Linked DNA regions of Tribolium castaneum. The protein of the gene in region 2 interacts with the protein of the main gene of each other region in a pairwise test. Links are inferred from orthologs where the notes say so. Each region holds a gene or a part of one and is shown on either strand. Other genes may lie near its edges.

The links.
Region 1: the proteins of cytidine deaminase (region 2) and Polr2H interact in a two-hybrid assay, tested with the Caenorhabditis elegans proteins (2 studies listed by BioGRID). The link is inferred for Tribolium castaneum from reciprocal best matches to the Caenorhabditis elegans genes cdd-2 and rpb-8.

What each region holds. Positions count from the first base shown.
Region 1 is NC_087396.1:10,332,624-10,337,079, reverse strand, and holds the start of Polr2H (DNA-directed RNA polymerases I, II, and III subunit RPABC3), read left to right. Parts: upstream 1-1,523; 5' UTR 1,524-1,586; coding exon 1,587-1,659; intron 1,660-4,456. Other genes in the region: Epp (ecdysteroid-phosphate phosphatase), read right to left, coding at 385-480, 709-904, 951-1,191, 1,244-1,356. UniProt on the Caenorhabditis elegans protein: DNA-dependent RNA polymerase catalyzes the transcription of DNA into RNA using the four ribonucleoside triphosphates as substrates.
Region 2 is NC_087399.1:3,313,336-3,316,344, forward strand, and holds cytidine deaminase, read right to left. Parts: upstream 1,411-3,009; 5' UTR 1,154-1,410; coding exon 1,102-1,153; intron 1,018-1,101; coding exon 617-1,017; 3' UTR 597-616; downstream 1-596.

The DNA.
Region 1 (4,456 bases), on a different chromosome or scaffold from region 2:
CAAGGAATAAACAAACACATTCCGCAACATATTTTTCAATATCGGTCATTAACTACTGTCACATTTTATCAAATGTGCAATAAAAGGTGAACTTTCCTGCAGATGACTTTTACTTTGTATAAAGACTCAAACCACTAATGGTGGCTGTATTTCTCTTTCAGACACTTCAAAAACAAAAGACAAAAGGTAACTAATTCACATGTTAGGATAATGATAGGTAAGAGAATATAAAACTGTTAGTAAACCAGCAACTTCAGTAAAAGGATAAATAAATGTTAGTAACAAAAGGAAAAGCAAAGTAAAAATTCAAACTTTTAATAGAAAATAAATACAAAAAAATGATAATTATCTAGAGGAAACTACACTAAACTACAATTTGCTTACATCTACTTCCCCGAGGAATGCAACGAGCAGTTGTTGTGGTACACCACGGAAAACAGGCTGTTAGAGCATCGAAATGTTCGTATGTGTCACTAATAACTGCAAATAACCACCACCTTTAGCCAGATTGTCATGCTAGTATTAAGAACAACTACAAGTAATTTGATTACCATGCAAGCATGTGTCGTTATCAATTTATTTACAATGTTGAGAAAACATGATTAGTAATAATAAGGACCAATCATTATCTAAATATTTTTCTGGTAATCAAAAACCAACAAAGTTACAAACATGCCCATCTACTGGTTTATAGAAAAATCGACTTACTAGCATTTGAAACTTCTTTAACATATTGCATGGCAATCCTTTTTAAATAATCAGCGTGCTCCTCCGCCACAAAAAACCCCATAAAATTTGGAGAAGTATACGTTTCTAGTTTTAGGGGCTCGTTCAACATAGCGCCCTGCCTTTCCATTACGGACTTTAGGCTTTGCGCCAGATGTAGGGCGTCTTCATCAGGCGCCTGTTACACATCATTAAACGAATTCAAAATTTATCAAATGAAATACCTTAAAAAACGAAACTAGCGTAATGTGCGGCGTGAAATTGTGGGCCCCGTTCCAGGCGCATTCCCTGTGCGACTTCTCCCAGAAGGTCTGTAACTGTTCCAGGAAAGGTCCCGTGGGACACGCATATAAAATGTACTCCCTTGGAGAGTTATCGTCCAGCAATGGGTCATTTACGTGGGCCAGTAACCAGTCGGAGGCCAACTGCACGCCCCTGTTACCAGTGGCAGCTAAGGCCTTTTCGCTGTGTGTAATTTCAAGTTACCCGAAAGTTTATTATCATTTTGTTTACTCACGCTCTGTGTTTGGGGAACCCCATCTGGAGGAGGATTTGTAGCGGGGTCAGGTGCTGTTTGGATATTTTTGTAGGTGTGGGGTTCCTCCTAGGGGGTAGTGTTGCCATTTTCATTTAATAAATTATTAATTTCAACTAGGTTAAAGTTTGGTGTTGACACTTCTAGTGGACCTTTGACATTTAAACAGTGACGTTTTTGTTTTGGTTTTGTTTGGGGAATTGGCCTTTCAGATGGCGGCACTGGTTGGAACACTGTCAAGTGTTGATGTCTGTCAAAATTTGCCCATTTTCATAAGAAAGTATTAAAGTGTGTTAATTTTTTATTATTTACACGTTATTCGACGATGGCAGGTGTCCTGTTTGAAGATATATTCAACGTGAAAGATATTGATCCTGAGGGAAAGAAATTTGATCGAGGTAAGTGGCTTTTATCGTCTGTTTGTTTGGATGTGTGACCGGCGTTTTTGAGGTTATGTTTTAACGTTTCGTAAAATTGCTCGAAATTGTGTTAAATTTTGAATGTATTTAAAGTTTACATCTTGTCTCATTTACCTCTGAATTTGGAAAGCGTGTGTATGTGGTTATTAATACGATAATACCGTCCTACTCTAAATATTGGTTATACCCCCCCACCTGTGTCCTAGTTGTGGCATCGATTGGTCTTTTTTAATGCATTAAGAATAAAACCAATAAAAACAGGCAGATAGAATAGATTTTTTTTGGTTAGAATTAATTACTTGAAGGACTTATATTAATAGAATTATGCAAAATTAGTCTTACAAAATTTTACTTTTATACTAATAATTTTTTAACGTATTAATTTTTGTTTAATACTTGTGTGGTTTGTAGGTGGTGTGTATGGGTGACATGGGCCGGCCCCCATTTTTGTTAAAACTGTTCGCTGTTTGAATCATTTGTGAAGACTGATGAATTACATGAATTAATTGTAATACAAAAAGCAATAAAATACATATTAAGAAACACGTAGGGGTTTAGAGCATTCTAGCTGGGATAATAAATGGATATATTAATTACACTAGTTTACAATTTTTTTTCTTTTACTAAGAAATCATTTCTACTAGGTAATTTTGTTTTCTACTTACTCACTGATAACAAAAATATACAGGCTATTTGGCAACACAGTATTAAAAAAACATTTAGGGTGTATCAAAATTGGCGAATTCCGAGTTCTGAGCACTGTAGAGAATTGCTTTAGTAGTCCAAACATCGAAAAGAGTTATTAATAATACGGGAGCAAAAACAAAAACTTAAAGTTCGAGAACTTTAAAAGCGTTTTCGCATGAGTGTTATTAAATTTTTTTTTTTGGAATATTTGAACTTAAATGAAAACACGTTGCTATGGGAAAAGCGTTTTAAAATAGTGTTTAAAATCTAGGATTCAGATATTAAAAAGAAGGCTTCAAATGTTACCAACAAAAAAATATTCGGGGCTGCCTCACAAAGATACATTGGTTTGAAGATTACTCTTTGAACTGCGTTTTTTTTAATTCAGCCTATATGTTTCAGTGTTTATTCTTATTTGTGGTGACGATGATTGTGAAGAATAATAACTGTGAACGATTTCTCAAAAAACTAGCTTTATTATTTTATATTTATATTTATTTTTTTATATTATTTTGGAGTTTTTAAAATCTTAATTTTTTTAATTTGCCGTTTTGTTTTTAAGAAAAATTACAAAAATTTAAATTTTTTACTCTAAAATGAAGCTGATTTTTTGAAATATTGTTTTACATTATTATCTTCCACAATCATCTACATCATAAGTAATAAAAATGAAAATAATGAAAAATTTTTAGCCTTCATTTGAAGAAAACGCAATTCAAAGTGAGCTGACGTGCACCTTCAAACCACTGTATCCTTGTGGGGAAGTTCCGAATCTTTATTTTGTTTTTACATTTAGTCTAGTGAAGTGATTCTTTACAACGCTCTGACCTCGGAATTTGTCAATTTTGAAACATCCTGTATGTTACATTTTTCTATCACATCTAGTTTTTTTTTAATGTTCACTAAAAGTTTTGAAAATTGGTTTCTGGTGTCTAATTTAGCATCCGTTGTTTCTGTGATGAACTAATTGTTAAACATTTTATTTGCTTTAAAATATCATTAAGTGAATGTATTAGACTTACCGATACGCATTGGTTTCATCTATTGGCAAAAAACGTTGTAAACTAGTGTTATTAGGAACTGAAATGAATAAAGAGAAGAAATACAAAGTAAAAAATTAAACCGACGTTTAGAAATATTACACTTCGAATTTTCCAAGTTAATACATTTTATTAAGTACTCCTACACATTTCAAAATGATAAAAATGCGATTTATTTTTGTTTCTATCATATTGAAATTAAATTGTTAAAAAGAAAAAGAAAATCAGTTGTTCCAGTAAAAATTAGTTAAAAATATTACAGGTAATAACACTGTAACAAAAAGTGAAAATTTTTGTTTTTATTCTGTATTATTACTATTATTAGTGTTTATTGAAAGCATAGGTCTTTTTGAATAAATTTTTGGTCACAATTTATTTTTAGTGTCGGTCTGCGAAAAAAAAGTGGGGGTTGACAATTTTTGATTTTACTCAAATTTAATAAGATGTTGTGATGTTATCCATGAAAAAGATTAATAATTAGCCACAAAACAACTTGTAACTTGATTAAATGTAACGAAAAGAACACAAATTAGTTATTAATAACAGAAAATTTGGTGGCACAACGCCAGTGGTCCTAAATTATGTTTAAAAAATCTAGTCATACATGCCTGCTTACTGGATGGTTCTAACAGGTGAAAAATGGGGTCTTCACTGTTCAATGTTATAACGAAATATGTCCAATTTTTGTCATTTTGAGAAAAATATAGAAACGTATGCTATAAAGTCCCTCTCTTTCAAATGCAATAATTGTTTTTGCAATAGAGTGGTTTATTTAGATGTTATTAAACAATTTTGTTATAACACCGAAAATTTGTGAACATTTGTTCAGCAGAATAATGAGATAAGTCAGTCAATCGTTTTCTCTCTATAAGTCTACAAATTACTATTAAATGTAAAGTAATATAAAAAACTATAAATTACATCTGACCTTTCATTTTGTGTGTTTTCTATAAATTTAAAGACAGTATTTTTAAAGGAGTGGTTTTTATTAAACAAAAACATTAAAATAGTGGTTCGTTCTAGCTCTTGGGGTTAAAGGTATTTCCATT
Region 2 (3,009 bases):
GCATCTAATACCGTGATAGTTTTTTGTTGTGTATCTTATTATTTTTTATATAATCTAGTTGAAATAAAGTAATTATTACAAGTGTGTGTTTAGGAGCGCAATAAACAACTAAGATTAATACAAACTTACCAAACGTGCGATTTGAGCGACTTTTTATCACTTAAAATTTTATCAAACTTTTTCAAATGACATAATTGACAAACTGAATTGCCAACCTGGCAACAAAAATACGTTTTCCACAAATAATTCGAAAAAACACAATTTTACCGTAAATAAAATAATATTTCGTGACCACTGATCAATTTTCGCACAAACTATTTTATTATTACAGGTTTTAAGGAACATTTTAGCAAACTTCAAAAAACTGTAGTTTTGCAACAAAAGACGATCAAACACGAAAAAACAAAAAAATTAGCATTTTTAGCGTTAAAAACGTGCAATTGTAATAAAAGTATATTGCAAGCTTACCTCAAATGAGTCTGGCCGTTTTTTTATCAAACGTAATCACTTTTTGTGATTAACAATTTTTCAAAATAACGCAATTGTTAGTCACCTGTCAGCAAACAAATTTTTGACAGCCGACAAATTTAAAAAGATTTGGTACATTTTAATAAATTTATTGATTAATTGTTGGTGACTGGAACTGGTGGGGCAAGAGTTGCCCCAAATCGGTCACAAAAACGTGCTCCAGGTCCGACTTCGAAATAAAAATTTTCATGTTGCCGTATTCGCTCATGAACTGCCTGCAGGCGCCACATGGGGTGGTGTAGACGTTTTCTTGGTTGCCTATCACAGCCACAGCTTTGAAACTTTGGAACCCTTCACTAATGGCCTTGGCTAGAGCCGTCCGTTCGGCACAAATCCCCACAGTGTAGGCCGAATTTTCAATATTACATCCCCCGAAAATAGCCCCCGTGGTGGTGGCAACTGCAGCCCCCACTTGAAACTTGGAGTAGGGACAGTACGCAAAAAGACGACTGGCGGTGGCTTGTCTTAAGAGAGCCTGCGTTTCAGAATCTGCAAATGTGGTTACATAACCTATTTTGCAGGTTTCAATTCAGGGCTTATTTTTGGGTTTTGGGGCTTCGGGGAGAGACGTACCCAAAGAAGCGAATTTTACGACGTTGGCACTGGTGGGGTCACTTGATGACATTATTGTTAAAATCGATTTTAAAGTAATTCTGACTAGGATTTAAAAGTGCACACTTGGAATGAGTTTGCATTACTTTGTTGTTCATTTTTATCGGCGAGAAATCTGATTTTTAGCCATTAAGACAGATAACAAAAACACTGCTGGGGAAAACCCGGAAAGTTTTAATCACATTTTATTGTTATTTGGCGAGTAATTGGCGTGACTTATGGCTCTGTTGCCCAAATTAAATCAAATAATTTAATTACGCACTGAATAATTATTAAAAATTTAAATAAGGCACCGCAATAAAAAAACTTGTGTGTTTTGTTCTAATGTCGAGTTTATGCGTTATTTACGCGCATTTAATAATAAATTAAAAATTAGATAACGTTATCAAAAAAAATAAAACAATTGAAAATCCATACGTAACTGAGTCAGCTGTTATAATCCGTTATATCTTGGCATAAATGTTTGTATCTTATCCGAATTTTAATGTTTTTTTGATATAGAATAAGTTCAAAGTTTGTTTTATGAATAATTAAAAAAATATGGTAAATGTGGTTGGAGAAAAAACTACTATGTATGCCGAAATAGCTCAGTTGGGAGAGCGTTAGACTGAAGATCTAAAGGTCCCCCGGTTCAATCCCGGGTTTCGGCAATCTTTTTTTTTCTTTAATAATAGCAACAGACCTTTACTAACCAATCCAACAAAAAATCATCAGAATTTTTGAAAAATAACAAAAATAGAAATAAAATAAAATTCTCTCTTTTGAATATTAGTTCAAATCACACTTTCATAAGATGGCGCTGCAAAATCTAACCTAAAAAATCAATTGACGCTTGTCTCCGACAAAAACGCTGTGTTTGTGACACGATATAGAGACAGACAGGTAAACCAACTCGCTATTATAATTGATTCTAACGCTGGAGCAAGTTGATAGATGGCAGCACGGTAGACTGGGACTGTCACAATTTCACAAATTTTCTTTGTTTTTTATAAAAAAATGATGCGAAATTAAAAAATGTTATCTCAGCACCCAAGTTAGTCATCTTGTAACAACTTCTGCTTTTTTCGCGCTGAAATAATAATATTTTCTGAATAGTTCTAAACTTCGGTTCGATGCATTTTCGGCCGCGAAAGACATCGAAACATTGAAGTCAGAATAAATGCTTTCCAGAAAAAAAAACTCCACTACCATTCGGTGCGGGCATCCTTCAGGTATTAATTGTTCTTCATAAATGTCATATTTTTAACAACGTGATGCGTGTATCTTTTTTCTTGTAAACATTGTGACAGTCCCAGTCTACGCTGGTGCCATCTGTCAGATAAAATAAAAGCTCCAACTTGCTCCACATTTTGGTTTGCGCCCGACAATGGAAAATAAGGGAAGTTGGTTCACCAGGACTATCTATACATGGTGGTTTGTGATAACAGAAAGTGATTACGAAATGGTTACAGGAAGTGGCAGAGGAGCTTCAAAGTTGGATCAGTGGGACGGAAAATGGACAAATGAGCGGGAGTTTGCAAGGACGGGAATAATTGAGGTTTATTTCAAATGAGAAAAAGGGCGGATTGAATGCATAAAAATGGCCAACATTGAGAAAAAGCTGACAGGGAGGGAAAGTGAATTGATTGATAAATCGAAAGATCGAACTCAATTGATAAATTATTAATCACTTATCCACGTGAAAAGTACGAGCTCTTACAACAGAATATTTGGACGAAATCTTGTTTTATTTAATAAAAAAATTGGTTTTATTCCAAATAGACTTTATTCAACTGTCAAAATTCATGGCTACTATGATTTTTTCAAAATGGTTATCAAGTTGTTGGTAACTTATCTTATCTGTCATAGTTTTTGACATGTCAATTTTTT